2 linked regions of the Canis lupus familiaris genome follow. The protein of the gene in region 2 purifies or fractionates together with the protein of the main gene of each other region. This does not show direct contact. Links are inferred from orthologs where the notes say so. Each region holds a gene or a part of one and is shown on either strand. Other genes may lie near its edges. The genes, in order: MTMR1 and SBF2.

Region 1 (10,230 bases), on a different chromosome or scaffold from region 2:
CCCCATGTGCGCAGGCAGGGCATGGGGATGCGAGGAAGCCCATCGGGTAACGGAGAGACTATTTAAAAGCCGGGCGCTGCGGAGCACTGTATGCGGAGTCCCGCCCGGAGACCCCGTCAGCCCCAGGGCCGGGATCGAGGGCACCCTGACTTTATCGATGGGGAAGGAGGGGCTCAGAGGGCTGTGGAAAGGACTGAGTCCACACGGGGAAGCGCCGGGTCCTCAGGGGAGCCCGAGGCCAGACAGGGAGGCAGTGCAGTGAAGGCTCGTGAGGAGTGTGGGATTGGGAGGATTGTAGGATCCAGGGGATCGGGGGATCTGCGGCTCTGGCCACGGGGGGAGGCGCCCCAAGTGAAGCGAAGATGCCTTCTTTCCGCCCTTGTTTTCTCCAACAGCTGTGAGGCTGTGTGGGTGGGACCAGGGGGGACCCGCGGGCCCTGCTGTGCAGAGCGGAAGGGTTGCTGCGGTAGTTGAGGGACAGTCGCTCCAAGAGGGGGTGTTCGGGACACCTGACAGCCACGGCCGGAGCCCCGAGGGGGTGGCTCTGCGGCCTTTCTGAAGGCAGCCCGGGGGTGGCGGCCCAGGCCCGGGAGGCAGGCGTGCCTGCGCGGCCTCTGAGGGCTCCCCCCGACCACCCCTCCCCGTCCCCGCCATCTGTCCAGGACGTGCCTGTCGCCCCGAGCCCACACTGGCCCGAGTCCCTTTCCTGGACGCCCTTGTGCCCACCCTGCCCTCCCCCGAGAGTGCCCCTGCCGACCCGGCCTCCCGGCCCCGCGCTCAAGCCCCCGAGGAGCTGGGGTTGGGACTGGCCACCCCCACCTTGTCTGCCAGGCCTGTGTCCCCAAGCGGCCACAGCCGCCAGCGCGGGGCGGTCACACAAGGCAGAGCAGAAAGTGCACCAGGAAGGGAGGGTGCAGCCGTGAGCTTCGGGGCCCCCCTCTGTCCGGGTCCGTCCCCAGGCACAGAGTCTCCGGGACCGGGGGACAGGGGCAGTGCAGGTGGCGGAAAGCCCCCGGGCTCTGTCGTCCTAAGCTTTGTGTCTTGCCTTCAGATGCAGCAGAAGGTCAAGGTAATGCCGCGCTTCGACTACTCCTGTCCCTCTCCCGCTCGGCCGGTCCCCGGGCCCCGCCCCGCCGCCCTCGCTCCTGCCCCCACTGCCCGCCCCACCCCTCCCTGCCCCTCACCCACCGGGCTGTGGCCACACCACCTGCGGCTCGGCCGCTGTCCCTGCAGGGAGGCCGGGGCCAGGGGTCCCGTCTGGGGGTCGGCGCCAGGGGCTCCCGGTCCTCAGGTTCCCCAGGGCTGTCGCACTGACTGCTGAGTGTCCCCGTGTAAGGCGGGCTCCAGTCGCAGTCGCGCCCCCCCGTGAGCTGAGAGCCCGGGTGTCTTCGATGCCCCTGGCAGGGCGGTGGGGATGGAGCCCCTGAACCTGAGTGGAGTGGCTCTGGGGGGGCCAGGCCCGCCCCCCCGGGTGCTCACGGCCCTCCGCCCTGCTGGCTGGAGGAGCCACGTGGCCCGAAGGTGGGGACGTTGCAGGGAAGGCCGGACGCTGGCAGGACGCTGGTGGCCCCTCTGCAGCGGACCCCGTGCACCCCCTCCCCGCATGTGCCCCCCCTCCTGTGGCGCTTGGCTCCCTCTGCCCCTCCGGGCCCCCGGGCTGGCCCCGCCACCTGGCCCCGGGGCTCCCACAGCTGGCACCTGCCCTGCGGGGATGCGGGTCAGAGGCCCTTGCTACGTCCCTCCCGAGGACAATGTGGGGACCCCCCCCCCCCCCCCCCCGCGCCGGGTCAGCCGCTGACTCTGCTCCTCGCCCCCTGCAGAGGGTCTGAACGCCGACTACGTGAAAGGAGAGAACCTGGAAGCCGTTGTGTGCGAGGAGCCCCAAGGTGAGCCCTTCCCGGCGGCACGGGGTGCGAGTCGGGGGGGTGGCCCCGAAGCCTTCCCCGCGGGGCAGTTCAGCCAGAACTGGGCGTGACTGCAGGGACGAGCCGTTCCACTTCCTGACACCAGGGACGCTGGGGCCACAGCCAGGGCTGCCTGCGGAGTCAGGGACTCGTGCACTGGGGACTCTGGTCCTGGCGGGGGGAGCCGCTGGGCCCAGGCCAACGGAGCTGTCATGGGGGGCGGGGGGCAGCCTTTATTTTTTATTTTTTCTTCTTATTTTCTTTTTATTGGAGTTCAATTTGCCAGCATACAGCATAACACCCAGTGCTCATCCCGCCAAGTGCCCCCCTCAGTGCCCGTCACCCAGTCACCCCCACCCCTGCTCACCTCCCTTTTGGGGGCAGCCTTTAAAAGACACCTGGACTTTTCCTTCTGAAGACTGGGGGCGCTGCAGGGCCTCGGCTGACCCCGGAGCCCGTGTCCCCCGCACCCCGTGGTCGAGCGCTGAGAGTGGGAGCCATCGACGGATGGACGGGAGGTGTAAGGTCAAGCCGGGGCGGGGGGCTGTCACGGGAGCCAACGGCAGCCGCGGGGACGGCCCTTCACTTAGGACGGGGACCGCGGTGTGTGCCGGTCCTGCACCATCGGGCTCCGTGGCCCCCGGAGGAGAGCCAAGAACAGCCCCTCGGGGCCACTGGCTACCTAGTTCTGCGGCCCCCCAGCCGCGGCGACCAGGGCGTCCCCACTGGCCACAGGCCCCAGTGTCCCACCGAGGGCCTGTATTTGCCCCTTCGGCGCCCTGGGGGGACCGTGTCCCCCTCCTAATTCCTGTCTTCTCTCCCCAGTGAAATACCTGACGCTACAGACGCAGACTGCGGAGCCGCCACCCCCCGAGGCGCCCCGGATCTGAGGCCTACGTCGCCCTGGTGACCAGCTCCTTCGTTCCCGTGGACCCACCACCACCACCGTCCGCTTCTCTGATGACGCCATCGGCTTCTGATTCTAAGTTTTCCAGACGAACTCGGGGTGTGTGTGAGGCTGGTTTCTGAGCCTGCCCTGCCATGGACGCTCGGGGACGCCGGGCACTGGGGACACCGGGAGGACGGGGGGCAGGAAGACGCTGGTGCTCAGGGGTAAGAGCCGGAGCCCAGGGTAGCGCAACCCTGGCACGCTGCAGTGACGCCCCATGTCCCTGGCAGCGGCCTCGGGCTGCTGTCGCTGGGGACCCAGCTCACACCTGGGTTGCTGGGAGGCCCTGAGGCCCTGCCAGGAGCACAGCAGGGGGATCAGACAACCACCCACCCTCCCCCCCGACACACCACACACACTCTCCGCCTTTCTCCCTCTCCCTCTGTCACTCGCTCTCACATACGCACATGCGTGTGCGTGCACACACACCACCCAGCTCTTACACCCCTGGGCTTCCAGAGAGCTGGTCCAAGTGGTGGCTTTTCATTTATTTGAGTGCAAACATGCATGTTGTGATAGTCCTGCCCCGAGGTCTTAGGAACCTTCTGGACGAGTAGGCAGCTGTGACTCTTGGGCCTGATCCCCCTCTGGTTCCGTAGGCAGCCGCCGTGATTAGTGTTTAGGAATCATTGATGCATTGAAACGAGTATTCCCCGTGTACCCCGTGTACCCCGTGTACGCGCTTTGTTCGGTAGCAAAAGCTAGACGCTGGGCATGAGCAGCAAAGCCAGAAGCACGCGTGGGTTTTGCTTAAAATTGTAGTTGAGGGGGGAGGGGCCGCCCGCTGGGATTAGTGGCACTGGCCTGGCTCTTGGGTCTGGAATGATGGTTGTGTGTGTCCTGTTGGCCGGGGGCCCTCGGGCGCCGCGGGGCTGCAGGGAACGCCAGCACGCAGGGGCTGCCCGTTCACTTACTGGCGCAGTCTGGCCTGGGGCTAGCCTCCTGGAACGTTCCATGTGGCCCACGTGGGGTCCTGTCTGGGGGAGCCCTGCTGTCCGAGGCTGAGCTGAGGTCTCGAGCCACCATGTACTGGCATTGGGCTTGCAGCGTCCAGTAGCACCCCCGGAGGCCGGCAGGCAGGGGGGCCCTGTGGCCAGGGCTCCTGGCGCCCCCTTGTGCTGCACCGTCCCGTCTGGCTTCCGAGGGAACGGTTGGGGTCAGAGGCGACCCCGCAGGTGGAGTGACACATGCCTCGCATGCTGGCGTTTGTTGGCAGCTGCTTTAGAGACCCCGCGGTGCGGGGACTGTCCCCTGCTGCGCGTCCCCAGGCCGTCCCTCGGATGCTGGCCGCCACCCCGGGGGGCCCTCCCCCCTGGAGGGCGGCCTCCGTTGTGAGTGTGCAGGTGTGGAGCACCGAGGAGACCCCTCTGCGTGGGGGTGGGGGTGTCCCTGCCCAGGATGGGGGGGGGCTCGGGCGGTGGGGGAGGCCTCTCGTGTCCGTGGCCTCTGGCCACCCCGTGGGGGGGACCCGGGAGCAGGAGGGGGGGCTTGAGGCGTTTCACAGGTAGAAAACGGAGGCAGCACCGCTGGGCGGCAAGTTCCTTCCCTGCCCACCGCCGGGAAGGTAGGGGGCCCTGGTCCCCATGGCCCGTGTGTCGCGTGGTGTGACTGGGCCCAGCCTGGCGCTGGGAGCCCCGAGGAGGGGCCCCCCGCCCCCGCACCCCTGGACTGTGACGCGCTTGTGTTTCAGTGTGAGCTGTAAGCTGTCTCGCGTTTGCATTAAACGAACTGGAACCGACTGGCGCCTGTGCCCTGATGGCGGGAAGGGGGGGGCTTCTTTGGGAAGTGATGCTGGGTTCTCCCGGAGGCTGTGCCCCAGCCCCAGCCCCAGGTGTTCCCCCAGAAGCTCGGCGTTCTGGCCCTTGCCGGGGTGCCGATGGTGGGGCGGCAGGGCCCGTCCGGGCATGAGCGGACCTGGTGGCGGGCTCGCAGCCGGACCCCGGGGCCGAGTGGGAGGCGGCGGGCGTGGGGTCACCTGCGTGGGGTGGCGCTTCGGCGCCCTGCCGGCCGCTAGTGCAGCAGCACGAGCCCTCCCGCCCAGAGCCGCCCTGGGACTCCCCGGTATCCGCATGGGCAGCCGGGTGCCCGGAGGGGACAGGGGCGCGAGACCCGCGGGGGCTCCCCCAGAGGCCAGCATGCGAGCCGTGGACTCGGGGTGGGGGCCCCGGGGCTTGTCAGCGGTCTGCCCCCTTTGCAGCTCGGGGTCCCGGGGTCCCCGGGCCCGATCGCCCAGCCCTCCCCCACCAGCTTCGGGCAGACGGGCGATCCACGGCTACACGCGCCACATCCCCTTTGGGGCCGAGACGCGCGTGTGGGGTTCAGCGAAGGACTCGAGTCCTACCTCACACGCGTCACCTGGGCGTGGCACGGGAGACCACAGGTGTGGAAGGTGCTGTCATTTTTCCGAGGGAGGAATTGGGAAAACATTAAAAAAAAAAGTAGACGACCCCAGAGCAAACATATTATTTTAATTACAGATGGAAATACAGTGTATCAGATGAGGCGACTACGCGACTGTACCAGTCTTTACACACCTGCACCAGGGGCTTAGGTTCCATACGCTTTAAATAAACAGAAAGCAAGGGGGGTGCTCGGCTAACGGCACGAGGCTTCTAGCTGGGCCGGGTGGGGGCACCCGGGGGAAGGGGGCTCGCACGCGGACGGCCCAACAGACAGCCCGCACGAGGCGATGCGGCCCCGGGAGGAGGACCGCCACCGCCGCTGCCGGCGGGAGGACACCGTGCCAGGTCACTGGCCCTGTTCCTGTCGCGGGCAGACCACGTAAGTCGGCGCGAGCTGGGGGTGGAAAGAACCCGTCACCCGGTCCGGTTACGCACACACCTCCTCGGGTGACTAGTTTCCAACATAAAAAAGGACATAGGAAAATAAAGGCATGTTTCTCTTTTTAAAAAATACCTTCTATGTACATGACAGTAACTGGCGCAGGAGGGCCCCGGGCGGGAAGAGGACGGGACACTCGGGGGCCGTGGCGGGGCCAGGGCGGTGAGTGGGCACGACGGACACGGCCGACGAAACGGAAAGCGCTTGATGACGGCGGGAGCGGTCACCTTGCCACGCAGGCGGTCGCTGGTGGGCAGGATCACCCGGCCCGCGGCCTGCCCGAGGCCCCTCGGGGAGTGGCCCCAGAGCGCGTCACACGGACGTGTGGACGGGGGTGACCGGGTGGGACGGCGAGGAGCCCCGCTCGGAGGACGACGAGGCGCGTGTGGCCACCTCCCGCTGCAAGTCCTCCACCCGCTTCTGCAGCTCCGCCTTCACGGCCAGCAGCTCCTTGAGGTTCTGGTGAATGGGCATCTGGGGAGAGAGGGACACGGTGAGGTCCCCTGCAGCTCTGCCGACTGGCAGCACCGACACTGTTCCCACCCATCGCGAGAGGTGCAGGCGGCCACCCCGGTGATGACCCTGCTGGAGGAGGGCGCCTGGGGGGCCGAGCCCACCCCCCCCCCCGCAAGGCCTCCCCGGGAGCCTGAGGCCCGGAGGGGGCTGCCGTGGGCGTACGGGACTCCCGGCCTGAGGCTGGGTCACAGCATCACCCGTTCTCCCCCGGCCGGCCCAGGCAGCCAGCAGCCAGCTTGTCCCCCACGAGGCTCTCGGACCAGGGTGAGGTGCACCGGGGACGGGGGTCACCACCTGGGAGGCGCTCCTGGCCTTGTGTCCCTGATGCAGTGTGTGCACGGCAGCCGCAGGCCCGGGTCCTGAGCCTCAGCCAGGCTCCCTGGTGCCCAGCCAACAGCCTCCAGGGGCTGCTTTCTGCCGCCCCGACCTTGCCCTCAAAACCCTGGGCTCTGACCCCAGCCTGCCGCTCCTCACCGCTCCTCACCGCTCCCCCAGGGTCCTGCCTCTGCTCCCCTCCTGCATTCCAGAATCTTCTAGGTTTTGAGCCGTTCCATGCATGTGCAGCCCCCTGCCCCCGGGCTCTCCCATCAGGGCTGATCACCCCAGTCCAGGGAGGAGGGAGACGGGTAGGGAGGAGGCAGGCAGATGAAAGCGCAGGGTGCCAGGTCACTAGCGAGGAACCAAGTCCTGACATCAGGCCACAGCAAGAAGGGAAGGGACAACACTGAGGCTGAAGGGAAGGGACAACACTGAGGCTGATGCCAAAGACCCCCCCCAAACAAGGGGACGTTCCCTTATTTGCTGCTGATCCCCAAGGCCACCGCGAAGTAAGCAGTAGCTCCCCTCCTGGCCTTGCGGCCAATTTGGTGTTAATTCTCCTGTTGGGATCGTTTGGTTCCGAGGGAATCACACAAGGGAAACTTCTGGAGTCAGGTCCCGGACACGGGAAGTCCATGGAGGGAGCGCCCAGTGTCACACCCAGGACCTGAGGTGACCCTCAGGGATCTCCGAGCAGCCTTGCCTCAGGTCACTTCCAGTAAATCCAAGGCCCGCTCGGTAGAGAAGTGCCCAGTAGGGAGCCTCCCCCTGTGGGCGGTGGGTCTGCCCCGAGCCAAGAGGGCCCCGAAGGAAACGACGCAGCTCGGTCCCCCCTTCCACCCGGCCAACCCTCTGACGGAGGCCCAGGGAGGCGTGGTGCAGGCAGCCCACAAGCGCCCTCCTCGGACAGAAGGGGCCAAGCAGGCTGGTCCCCTGCCTTTCCTCCCTGTCCCGCCGGCCTGGCTCCCCATCCTGTCGCAGTGACGCCGGCCTAGGTGCCCACTCTGTGCCACCCCCCCACCCCCGTCTTTGAACATACTGCTGCTAATGAGCTGGCCCTGTGCACCGTGTGCCTGCCCAGCCTGCCCCCCACCGGCCTGCGGAGCCCCCAAGGCCCAGCCTGCTCCCCCCTCCCCCCTCCCTGCCAAGGCCCAGCCTGCTCCCCCCGCCCAGCCTGTTCCCCCCCCACGTCAAGGCCTGGCCTGCTCCCCCAAGCCCTCCCGCCGGCCTGGTTAGAACAAGAAGCGGCAGCCCGTGGGCCACCGGGCAGTTCTCCCGTCACGCTGGAGCCACAGCACTCCGTAGGCCTTCACATCACGCTCCGTTCCTGCTCCACGAGGTCTCGGCGAGGCCCGGGGACCTGGGCCCCAAGTGCGTGGAGCCACCGCCGGAGGGGATGGGACCCCGGCCCATGGGCACCCTGCAGGCCAGTGCACGGCAGCTCAGGGCCTGCCCTCGGTGCGGCCGATGGCTCCTGTAGCACGACAGTCCTGCCCGAGACCTTGATGGAGGCCAGTGCCGGCTGCGGCTCCCGCTGCCGTCACGGTGGCCATGGTCACGGAGTGCCGCAGACAGGACAGGTGGGAGGGCTTCAGGGCCAGGGCGGTGCTCTCGCGTTCACAGTCCCCAAGCATAGGGGGAAGCGCTCGAGCCCAGGGCTGCTCTTTGTCCCGCAGCAGGGCCTGTGCCAGCTTCCCTGCAAATGTTTCAGAAATCCCACCGTCTGTCCTCTGTGTCCCCCAGGATCCTATTTGGTGACTCTCTCCATGTGACCAAAATAAAGTGGGTTTCCTGCCCTCTGTCCCTGAGCCTGTCTTCTTGTTGCTACGACACACGACAGAACCGGGCAGGAAGGAACAGCGAGCCAAGGGCAGGAGCAGAACACAGGCAGAGGCCGGGAGGGAGCGGCGGACGCACACCTGACTTGTGTTCCTAAGTAAAAGGGACTCCAGTGACTGGAAGGAAGTGCCTAAGGGGTCCTGGGGGCTGGCATTCGAAGAGAAAGCAGCTGAGGTGAAAAAGGAGCATAGTTGTGGAAGCTGCCCTGTAAATCACTGGGCTTTCTGGGCCCGCACGCCCCTGCAAAGGCAGCTCTCTCTCACACGGCTCTCATTTTGTGGGCGATTCCATCTAACAAGCAGCAGTCGTCATGCCAGGGCCTACCCTTGCAGCGTATCCCCGTCGTCTGAGAGAGACAGAAGTTGTCACCACAGCTCAGAGGGGACGGCGGGGCCGGGGTGTGGAAGGCAGATGAGCTGCAGCCATCAGGTGGCCACGGGAGGCCGGCTCCGGGACCAGCGGGCCACTGTATGGCCACCCTCAGCTGCGCGACCGGGGAATGATGAGTCACGTGAGGTATGGGTCACTCGGAAGAGGGGAGAGGAAAGGATCTGGGGACCATGCTTGTGAAGAGGCTCTTTGGAGGCCACCGGCAACTGTTGTCTGACCCTGTGGCCTTCTGCAGAGATGCCGCAGAGCTAACGGGATGCGTGCTCATCGGCAGAACATCTGAAATTAGTTCCTAATGGCTCACTGGCCACACACTCAAAAACCAGTATTTCAGACATTAACCACTGACCACAGGACTTGGCCACATGTACATCGTCCTCATGGAGAAAAGAACAGACTGTCTCTCACTTCACATGTTCTCCGATAAAGAGAATGTCTTCCAGCTCTTACAGTTGGCACCGAGTCCACACTCCATCTGGTGGTTAGCACCGTGCTCTGGCCGTCTCGGGACCGAGGTCCCTCACGTCGCAGCACCCCTGCTGCTCCGTGCTCTCATGACATGGGAAGCTGCCACTGGCCCCTTCCGGCGGGCTGGAACCGTGCTAGTGCACCCGGACAGCGGGCGGGGGCTCAGTACAGCCAGTGGAGGGAAGTCTGCCTGCGGAAGGTCTCCTGAAGAAGGTTCTCAGAGCAGCGGCTGTTGGCCCAGTGAGAAGCAGACACCGGGGAAGCATTTCCAGAGGCGAGGGGTCGACAGGCAGCCCCCGGGATACAGGGCCCATCGGACCAGGAGGGAGAGAGGGGAACATGAGGCCTGGGTCTCATACCTGCCCCGAGAGGAAGACAAGTCCCAGGCTGGACTGTTCTGGAAAACAGTCCTGAGGGCTCTGAGGGTGGCAGAGCTGACCTAGAGGCTCTAGAGGGAGAAAGAGCCCTTGTGGCTAAATTTCATGGAAGAGAAAGCAGGATCAAAGAGTCAGGGGAGGAGAGGCCAGCGAGGAGCAGCTGGAGCTGTGCTGCTGGGAAAGGGAGTGGGTCAGAGAGGAGAGGCAGGAGCACAGCGACAGTGGGCATGGTCGCAGGGGTCCTGGGGTGACGTCTACAGGGACTGAATTTGCCATCAGGGAGGGAAGGCTAGTGAGGTGATGGTCCCTCCAAAGCTCAAGCACCAGGCAACAGCCAGGTGACATGAACGGCTGGGTCTCCCTCACGGTTAGTGGGGCCTGGGGATCGTCACGGGGTAACTGTCCACCCAAAATGCAGACACTGAAGTGCTGAGCCCCAGCACCACAGAGCGCACCTGGATGTGGAGACAGTTCCTCACACAGGTAGTTCGAGTTACGCTGAGGTCATCAGGGTGAGTCCTAGTGCAGTACAACCACTGTCCTCGTGGAGAAGGGGACACTGCACACAGGCTCGCACAGGGAAGGAAGACAACAAGAAGACACTGGAGAAGATGGCTGTCTGCAAGCC
Region 2 (11,007 bases):
CCTACCAGTAGCCTCTCCAAATTCTCAGAATGACAGCAAGCCAAGTCAAACCACAAGACCTTACTGAATGGCTCTTTCCAGTAATACTGACACATTAGCCACACAAGATTGACTTTCCTGACCTCTGCAACCTCTGTAGCTACTTGGCCTCAACTAACTGTGCATCATTAAGTATTGCCCTGTTAAAAACAGTGCTCTTTTACCTATAGCACTGCATCTGCCTAATTCTCTGCATCTTCACCCACAGAACTTCAAGTTAGAATTTGCTTTAAATTGTGAGTTTGTTCCTGTTGAATTTTATGACATCCGACAAGTTAAAGCCAGTTTCAAAAAACTGATGAGGGCTTGTGTTCCAAGCACCATTCCTACTGACTCAGAAGTGACCTTCCTGAAAGCCCTGGGAGACTCTGAGTGGTTCCCACAGGTAATGTCTGGAGCAGCTTGTCCTATAACTCAGAGAAAGAGAAGTCCAAGTAGATAAACAGAATGGATACTTGAGGAGGAAAAAATATTGTGTGCCCTCACTACCTGACATTCTCCCCTTACTGTATGCCCTCCATAAAGACTTTCCAGTTTCAGGGAACCATATGATATAGAAGATGGCAGGGGGTAGAATTCTTCATCCCTGGGCTTTCATCTCTCTATAATTGAAAATTTGGTCTTCATGGGTTGCTGAGGAGGAGGACATCTTTATTGTTCGATGGAAACTTTCTGATATGCAGTAAATTTAATCATTGAAAAATATTTATAGGACTCCTGCTCTGTTATCAGCAGAGTGAGGATCCAGGACAGAATGTGATATCTGATGACTCCAAGAGCCTTTCCCTGTTACTTTCTTACCTTCCATGTGTCTCTGCCTTTTCCATGTGTCTAGATTTTAGAATCACCCTCAGACCAGCCACCAAAATCATTTTGGATACCCTAAAACTTACCTAAGGTTTAGGAAAAACTGCATATCCTTTCGTCAGCTCAGTCAAGCTTGGGATGTTTTTAATTAAACTCTTATTAAGAAATTAAGGAGAAATAGGTATTCCAGCACACATAACCCACATTTCTTCCAAACCACAGAAGAAAGGTATTTATGACATGCATGTTTTAGACACTGATGCAGACATTTAACCAAGAGCATCTCCGCGGTATACCCTTCAGCCTTGTCTTCAGGCCACTGATGCTATGCCCATTATTCCTTTGCCCCCTGTAGGAGTTCCCAACCCCTCTAATCTCCTGTTCCTATCTGTCTCCAAGCCTCCTGCCTCTCTTAAGGAGGAAAAAGAGTTGTTTTCCATAAACCAGGAAATGATTGGGAGTACCTAAGGCAGTGACTATTCTCAAGATACTTAAACTCTTTAAAAAAAAAAAATTAGCTATAAATCTGGATCAGGGTATGTTGATGACTATTATAGCAGTTCAGGATACTTTTGAATACCCATGGAAGGAGCTGATCAAGACTCCCTTCTATCCCAAAGCTATGAGCCCCAACCCCAAACTATCTGTGTTTCTGATACATTCTGTGTCCTACTTCTTACTCCAAAATAGATCCTTACCAGAAGTTGGTAACTAAAGTCAGTGGAAAATATTGCCCCACTTGGAATATTGGCATTTTAAAAGTTAACTCAGAGCAAATGCTAAGCCCAAGAGAATACAGGCCTGGTAATATCTATGTTATAGGAACAGGGAGTAAGGAGTTTCCCATTGCTGGAGAGGACATGTGCCTTGCTCCTAGGTATAAAATAGCCCAGATCTCTTTAAAGTATGGGGGATTTTATTTTGTTTTATGTTAGTTGACAGATTCATTCTACAATTTATATCAAAAGATGCTTATAATAGTTTTAAACTATAATATACAATTGGTTTTGAATCTATATGCTCTGCTCACAACCTAGTTGTTCATTAGGGACTTTGAGTCTTTTGGGTTGGCTTCAAAAGCTGAACACAAATATAAATTTTCTTTCCATTTAATATATAGTGCAGACAAATAAGAATGTCTTTTTTAAAATATAAAATTTATTTGTCAAAAATTCAGCCCTTTAAAGTGTACAATTCAGTGCTTTTTAGTATATTCACAGAGTTCTGCCTCCATCCTCCTATCTAATTACAGAAAAATTAAAAGTATCTGAAATAGAACCGATTATATCATAGAAAAACAAATTTTAAATCCAATAACTGTGTTGGTAGGGCCACTTAGAATCTGACTTTTCCACTCTATGGGGTTACATAGCTCTTCTACTTTGGGGAGATCATGTAGGGTCAGTTTATTTCATTGTCTATCATTTGAACATGTTGTTTTAAAATGTGTCTACTTCTAAATTATGTCATTGTTTCATCTTGATTTTGACAAAGAACCACCAAATCCATCAGAAACTTTGACAAAGTTTTAAGCATTTAAAACTTATATGATTCTTTTGTCCAAATACTTCATCCCTAACTTGTTTCATTATCTGAGGTTGATAATGAGTCTGTCTGTTCTTGGTGTTCAGAAAGTGCCTGGTCTAATTGTGGCCTCCTTTCCTATCTCTTAGCTTCACAGGATAATGCAGCTGGCTGTGGTTGTATCAGAAGTACTTGAGAATGGTTCCTCAGTTTTGGTCTGTTTGGAGGAAGGCTGGGACATCACTGCACAAGTAAATGATTAAAACATAGTTTCAGATACTTAGTTTTAGATTTATATTTAAATTCAGTTGTTTTTAAATCCTGCAGATGAATCTTTTGTATAATGACTAATGTGTTTATGGACAAAGTCCTATGTTAAAAACCACCAAATCCATCAGAAAGTTTTGTGCCCTGAGCTTCCAGGCACTACATATCCTGGAGCTCTGGTCCAGGGCATCTGGCTCCCTCATGACAGATACACCATGCAAGCATACAAATGGAGCCGTTGATCAGAGGGTAGGACATGGACCATCCTTCCTGGGTTTTGTCAGTCCTTTCCCTGGCTTTCAATAAGCTCCTCCTTTATCCACTGTAGAGTAAAAAAAGGGTATAAATATAAACTATGTAAGACATTAATCTGTATCTGCCAAAAAGTAGATAATAGGTTGGAACTGATCCTCTAGCCTTATTAATTAACCTGCAGGAGGGGACTATAGTCAGCAAACTGGTTAGGTAAAGATTAAAATCATAATTCCCTGAAAGAAAACATGTAGCCAAAATGAGTTTGAGTTTTAGTTTTTACTGGAAGTTTGCAGAATTAATTTGATTGGCTGTCCTGGAGCAGCTAGTGAACAAATTTGCTGTTATGGTAACTTTGCCTGTCTTAGTAACAAAATTTTTTCAGGACCGAAAGTAATGTATCCATCCTGCTTGTGTCCTAGGTGACATCCCTGGTTCAGTTACTCAGTGATCCCTTTTATAGGACACTTGAAGGCTTTCGGATGTTGGTGGAAAAAGAATGGCTCTCTTTTGGTCATAAATTCAATCAGCGGAGCAGCTTGACCCTCAATTGTCAGGGTAGTGGTTTTACTCCAGTCTTCCTGCAGTTCTTAGACTGTGTACACCAGGTAAGTAGAGCAGACTTTAAATTGACTTGATATGAAAGAAAGAAAAGAACTAACATTTATTGAGCATAGCAGTGCTGTGCCAGGTATCTTCATGTCATGATTCTGATGGACTCAGCCATAAGGCTTGCTGAAATCTTAGCAGTGGATTCCTGGGAATAGAGAAGGAAAAAAAAAACTAGTTGGTTTCTGAATCTAGGATAGCTGAGTTAGCTACTGGCTGGCCCCCATGTGAAGTAGCCAGCACTCTAACTTATCATCTCCCAAGAAGAGGAGTAAACTTGGGTTTGTCGTTCAGGAAGGTTTGATCTATGATAAAACAGCAAAAATCTCTAAGTGATGACAGGGCCTGAAATCCAGCAGGTGCTCATCCCCATTCTGGAGGATGTTAGCTTGTGCCTAGGAATATGGAAGGTGGAGCTTAACCCCTGAGAAAGAATCAGGGCCCAATCAGGCAAGCCTGTGAGGTTGAGAACACTGGCTCGATTCTACTCAGTGACTTAATCAGGGCTAATCAGAGACCAGACAGAAACCCAGGTATATAATCCAGTCATACCCAGTGGGAGCAGGGGAATGGGGAAGATGTGAATGCTCTACAGGCTCCCTCAAGCCTCATCAGTTACAAACTTCCTAATGGGGCCTGAATCAGAATTGGGCTTGAGAATTACATGGCACCGGGTTTGCTAAATTGGCCTAGGAAAAGCAGTGTTGACATCTCCAACTTTACTTCATCTGTACCATAACAATGAATGTGTTTTGGCATGTCAGACATATTTGTCAGAACCATGAGCCTCTTGGAAATAGATTGTCCTCGGGTATCTATTGGAAGGAAAGATGGAAATGTTTTCAGGAACCAGTACTAAAACTAGGTCTTCTAAAGAGGTTTTGTTTTGGTTTGGTTTTTTTTTATTCTATTTATCATTTGATCAACTTTATTAATTCACTACATAATTTTTCATTTATTTAAAGTGTATATAATTCAATAGTTTTAGTATATTCACAAAGTTGTATAATTGCCACAATCAATTTTAGAACATTTTACCACTCCAAAAAAGAAACTCAAAAAAAAAAAAAAGAAAAAAGAAACTCTATACCCATTAGCAGTGACTTTCCATCTCCGACCCCCGACCCCATCCCCCATATACACACATTCTGGTGGTTGTTTTTGACTGCTCTAATCAGCTTCTTAAGAAAAGATCTATTGAATAATTTTAGTTAATTCTGTCCGAACATCATCCAGAGAAGCTGGCTGTAGGATTGAGCTTATGTTTTAAATCTTTGCAGCAAAAGGTATATTTGTTTACTATTTGAATATGAGCCTTTTTATTTTGTACTTCTTTTGGCAGATAGATGAGGGAGGCATTTGGAGCCCATTGTCTCTGAAACAGAAAGCTTAACTGATACCAAAGGAGAGGCACAAGGATCTTTTTCTCACATCTAGATAGATGAACCATACGAATTCTTCATGAAAGCACTTCTTATTATCTTGCTTATTGCCTTACATTGCTTACCAAATGCACTAAGCTGTCTACCTTAAACTTATACAATGACATATGTCAAGTATTTCTTGGTAAAACTGGCAGAGGTATGGGGAGGCAGGTATAAGCAACTACATACTATATATGATTTCATTTATAGAAAATTCTACAAAAGGCAAAACTATTGTGACAGAAACATATCAGTGGTCATTTGGGACCAGTGGTCAGGGACCATGAAGGGGCGTGAGCAAACGTTTTAGGATAAGGGAACTATACTAATTGTGCTGGTGATCACACAATGTATACAATGACCAAAACTAACCTGTATGGTGTAAATAGGAGGATTTTATTATATGTAAATTATATATCAATGAACCTGAAAAACAAAAAAAAAATTTTTTTAAGATTTATTTATTTATTTATGATAGACATAGAGAGAGAGAGGCAGAGACACAGGAGGAGGGAGAAGCAGGCTCCATGCTGGGAGCCTGATGTGAAACTTGATCCTGGGACTCCAGGATTGAGTCCTGGGCCAAAGGCAGGCGTTAAACTGCTGAGCCACCCAGGGATCCCCCAGAAAAACAAAATTTTAATTAGTAAGTCCAACATCTCAGTTAACTGGAGTTCCAGAAAAAAAAAAAAAAAAAAAAAAAACAGCTCTCTAGTTTTTCCAGAGAAAAATTTGTCAGTCTGGTGCCCAGAGAATACTTATAAGCTGGCTGCCTGCTTTTTAGAAATAGGGCAGGAAATAGGTCCAGGGAGATCCTTCTTTTTCTATGCTATTTTCAGTTTCAAGCCTCCTCATGAACCCAGTTGTGCCTACTGTTCCCAAGTCCAGAGCTCATCTAGTTTGGTTTTTCCAGAGGACAAATTTCTAATCCCTTGCTTTCAAGAAGGTAATCACATGACTGCATGGGGTAGGAGAGGACCCTGGAGATCTCACCACTTCCTCTATAGACTTAACCTAGTCCTCATTTTTGGCTCCCATTTCACCTCTGTATATGTTACTGAGTTATTGGGCCTCTGAGTCCTGAGCCTTTCTGAGACAGGGCAAGCTGTCACCTTCTCAAATCATTTTCATCCTACAAGCATTCCAATGTAGCTTCTCATCTTCTATCATTTATTGCTATTCTTATATTCTATTTTCCATTGTTCATAAATGTACTGAATTTTCTTGACCTGCTACTGTTTCCCTTTCCATTCTCCCCACCTCATTTTAGGTTATTCTACCTTATAAAAAATCCTTTCCTTTAATTAAGGGAGAGTTGGAGGGCAGCTAAGTTTGTATGGCTGGATTTGGTTTAAGTTAAATGCGTTATTAAATATGTTAAATATCCATGCTAAACTTGCAAAATTCTGCATACCTAAACATGAGAGTCAGCAAAAGAGTCCACTCACAATCAGTAAGAGATGGGAGGGTCTCACAGAAGACATACTGTCCTCGAAAATGACATCATTCCACCCCAAGCGTAATAATAATTACTTGAAATATAATACTTATATTTTATTATTAGGGGTGGGTAGAAGTGTAAGTAGTCTAGAATTGGAAAGTAACCTGTATTTTGTGAGTACCCCTTAAATGATATAAATAAATCTTAATATAAATGAAAGTATAAATTCCTGTTGTCTTTAGAATACATTACAATAGAAGCTAAAACAATGTAGTGTTATCTAAAATATCTTAGGGTGTATGTTTAATTTCTAGTAACTTTTTATTTTGAATAATGAGTTAAGGGCTGCTGGTGTGGCTCAGCAGTTTAGTGCTGCCTTCAGTCCAGGGCATGATCCCGGAGACCCGGGATCAAGTCCCAAGTCAGGCTCCCTGCATGGAGCCTGCTTCTCCCTCTGCCTGTGTCTCTGCCTCTGTGTGTGTGTCTCTAAGAATAAATAAATAAAATCTAAAAAAAATTTAAATTAAAATAAATAAACAAATAATGAGTTAAAATTCAAATGCCCTATATAAATTGAGCTTTAGTGACAGCTCAGTTATTTGTAGGTGAATGCCTCAGAAACTGTAGAAAATAATATTGTTTGGAGCCTAAAGACTCCTTTAGCATTAATTCAGATCTGATTATACCACATTAAAATTTTTTATAGATTTTTTTTTTAAGATTTATTTATTTCAGAGAGAGAGTGTGTGTGTGTGAATGGGAAGAGGGGCAGCGGGAGAGAGAGAGGTAGACTAACCATTGAGCACGGAGCCTGACACAGGACTCAAATCTCATAACCCCAAGATCATGACCCTGAAATCAAGAGTTGGACACCAAACTGACAGAGCCACTCAGGTGCCCCAATGTTAAAATTTTTCAAACTAAAATATGAATTTTCAAAAGTTTTCTGAACCTCTTTTGCCTTAGTACCCTTTCATATAACAACCTGAGTGCAGGCAAGTCATGGCAAAGTAGCATATGACCTTAATTGCAGTATTTAAAGAATGCTTGGCTATGATAGGTATCAGCTTTGGTGAAGCAAATTACTTCATGCTGAAAAGGGATTGTTTATTCATTCAAAAACAGAAGACTATAGAAGACTAGTTAACAAATAGTGCTTCTGACTCTTGCTGACTTAATTATAAGGTAGTATTTCATCATCTTCTACATACTAGTTTTAGGCATTAGAGAACGCCTTCTTTGAATACCTTTCAAGTGAACACCAGTGCTTTACATGACTCCAGCTTTTGCCAGACAATTCGAACTACCACTGTCCTTAATTTCGCAGGGGCACAAAACAGAGCCAGGCCCAACATTAAAAAAAAATTTTTTTAATGTGCAAAATTACACAGCAATAAGCAAAACTCCCAGGTGGAATGTGTTCACTGCTTGTTAACCATTTCTAACACGCTGAATGCCAAAAGGCAGTCTATGGAAATTTGCCTAGACTTGTCCATTAGTACTAATAGGGTTACAAAGAAAACAGATGAAGTACTGATCTTAAATTAGAACTGCCTCATCATATAAAAAGCCATTGTTTACGCCAGTATATCCAGGTGTCAGATGAATTATAAATGCTAGATCACTGTTTCATAATAGCAACATCTGGCAAATTTTTGTTGCTTCTAAAAGAAATTGGCTTAATTCAAGTGATATCATTACAGGATGCTTCCTTTTCTTAAAATAGTTGAACCAAATTCAAAAAGAAATATATCCAAAATACAAAAATACAATTTTTACCTAAAATTTATTTTTAAAATATAATACCAAGGGAACAGACATGTATAATATGAATGAAAACATGAAGTATAGGAAAGCATCTCCTCTATTTCAACATTAGAGTAAATCTTTGAGTGTATCTTAGGACTTTTTCATTATTTCCTACTTTGAGAAAAACAAATAAGAGTTATAACTTTGCTTTTGAAGTTTATTCAAGTTGTAAATTGACTCACTCTGGTCTGGTTGTGTGATATGGTCTCACGGTTACCATACATATGCCGGCACTATGCTAGGTCCTATTCTAATAAGAAAAGCTATTTGTCTCTTGAAGATATGAACTTTCCTTGTGCGCACATGTGTGAGGAGCCACACCGCCCTCACACAGTTTGGTTACTCTAAAATGTATCCATTAATATTGGCAAAATAACTGCAGTTAATGGATTAATGGTATATTCAAAGTTTCTGGTGTCTTCCTGCTTCCCATCCATTTGAAAACTGGCAAAAATTGATGTAATCCAAGCTGTTTTATAACAAAGCAATTTTGCATTAGGGCTTTAATATTTTGAACCCATAAAATAAGTCTGAGTTTAAATATTTTGAGCCCATAAAATAAATCTGAATTTATATATCAGTCTTAACTTACTAATTTTTGATCCTTAACAAATTATTTAACCTCTCAGGTGCTTTGGTTTCTAGATAGATACATGAATACATAGATAGCTATCAGAAGGATTACAAATCTTATGTAAAGTGATTGGCACAGTAGAAACTGCACAGTTAATGTTTGTTAAATCTTTATCTTGAAATAACAAAAACTAACATTAATTACTTATTTTTCTAGGGTGTGTCTACCATACCCACAGTTTTTCCAATATTGATGCCATTCTATATAAGGTCTCTTATAGCTTAACATTTCTAATTCTCCAAAGCAAAATCCAATGTTAACTTACTATATTTTATTCCCAAAATGTTGATCTTTCCTGGGATTTGAGTCATAGCTTATTTTATGGGCCTTTAAATTTTATAAAGTACTTAATGACATATGGGCAAAAAATAAGACCCCTATAAATTCCTGTGTCTCCAAATTCCTTTTCAGATTCTCTTCTTATAAATAAGGAAAATTGGCAGGTTTCAATCCATAATGGAAAACAAAACTAAAATACCTCACATAGCTTCATCTTTTAAATCTGTATATTTTTATCTTCCATCAAGATAAATAAAAAGTTATTTTGGACAACAGAATCCAGATGATGCCTGAGAAAGGCCTAAAATTCTATTCATGAGCATATTTGGGGAAAAGCTCCTATAGAATTAATTTATAGACGGAGATGCCTATCATTTCCAATTCTACATAATAAAATAAGACTAAGTTTATTTGAAACAGGTTTGCCTTTAGGTTCCAAAAATCTTATGGCCAACAGCACAGAAAAATAATGAAACCAAATGCTGTTCTTTGAAAAGATCAATAGATTGTTAAACTTCTAGCCAGACTGGTCAAAGAAAGACACAGAATACCAGTATTAGAAATGAGAAAGATGACATCACTACAGATTCTACAGATATTAAAAGGACCGTAAGAGAATATTATGAAGTTTTGCACCAATAAAATCAACAATTTAGATGACATGGACAAATTCCTTGGAAGACACAACCTACCACACTCACTCAGGAAGAAATACATAATTTGAATAAGCCCATGTCTATTAAGGAAATTGATATTGTAGCTAAAATCTTTCCACACTGAAAACTTCAGACCCAGGTGGTTCCACTGGTTAATTCTACCAAGTATTTAAGGAAGAAAGAATAGCAGTTCTATATAAAGTCTTCCAGCAAATTGAAGCAAAGGGAATACTTCTCAAAAAAAAAAAAAAAAAAAGGGAATACTTCTCACCTCAGGCTATGAGACCAGCGTTACCTTGGCCTGACAAAGACAACAAAAGAACACTATAGACCAGTATCTATTCTGATCAATATTCAAATTTTCTAAACAAAATTTTAGCAAATCAAATCCAACAATATATTTAAGAGATAATATACCATGGTCAAGTGGCATTTATCCCAGGAATGCACAGTTGGTTTCACATTCAAAATCAATCAAAATAATTCACCATATTAAGAAACTAAAAAAGAAAAATCATAAGGTCATCCCAAGAGATGCAAAAAAGCATTTGAGGAAATATAATATCCATTCCTTGTAAAAACATTCAGGAAACTAGGAATAGAAGGGAACTGGCTCAAACTCTAGATAGTATCTGTTTTTTAAGAACCTACAGCTGAGGGGGATCCCTTGGTGGCTCAGCAGTTTAGCTCCTGCCTTCAGCCCAGGGCATGATCCTGGAGTCCCAGGATCAAGTCCCACATTGGGCTCCCTGATGGAGCTTGCTTCTCCCTCTGCCTGTGTCTCTGCCTCTCATTCTCTCTCTCTCTCTTTCTCTCTGTCTTTCATGAATAAATAAATAAAAATCTTAAAAAAAAAAAAAAAAAAAAAAACCGGGATCCCTGGGTGGCGCAGCGGTTTAGCGCCTGCCTTTGGCCCGGGGCGTGATCCTGGAGACCCAGGATCGAATCCCACGTCCAGCTCCCGGTGCATGGAGCCTGCTTCTCCCTCTGCCTATGTCTCTGCCTCTCTCTCTCTCTCTATCATAAATAAATAAAAACTTAAAAAAAAAAAAAAACCTACAGCTGACATCATCATAATAGTGAAAGACAAAATACTTTTCCCCTATGATCAGAAACAAGATGTGGATGTTTGCTTCACCACTTCTATTCAACATTGTACTAAATAAAGATCCTACCCATGCAGCAAGGCAAGAAAATAATAATATAGACATCCACATAGGAAGTGAAATTTTGTTTATTCATACACAACATGGTTGTCTATGGACT

The links.
Region 1: the proteins of SBF2 (region 2) and MTMR1 purify together in Homo sapiens (affinity purification with mass spectrometry; 3 studies listed by BioGRID and IntAct, with this or other methods). This does not show direct contact. The link is inferred for Canis lupus familiaris from reciprocal best matches to the Homo sapiens genes SBF2 and MTMR1.

The regions. Positions count from the first base shown.
Region 1 is NC_049260.1:120,301,020-120,311,249, reverse strand, and holds the end of MTMR1 (myotubularin-related protein 1), read right to left. Parts: intron 6,169-10,230; coding exon 6,007-6,168; 3' UTR 5,302-6,006; downstream 1-5,301. Other genes in the region: CD99L2 (CD99 antigen-like protein 2), read left to right, coding at 1,052-1,069, 1,821-1,886, 2,730-2,794. UniProt on the Homo sapiens protein: Lipid phosphatase that specifically dephosphorylates the D-3 position of phosphatidylinositol 3-phosphate, generating phosphatidylinositol. Could also dephosphorylate phosphatidylinositol 3,5-bisphosphate to produce phosphatidylinositol 5-phosphate.
Region 2 is NC_049242.1:33,628,670-33,639,676, reverse strand, and holds part of SBF2 (myotubularin-related protein 13), read left to right. Parts: intron 1-247; coding exon 248-424; intron 425-2,519; coding exon 2,520-2,621; intron 2,622-3,311; coding exon 3,312-3,497; intron 3,498-11,007. UniProt on the Homo sapiens protein: Guanine nucleotide exchange factor (GEF) which activates RAB21 and possibly RAB28. Promotes the exchange of GDP to GTP, converting inactive GDP-bound Rab proteins into their active GTP-bound form.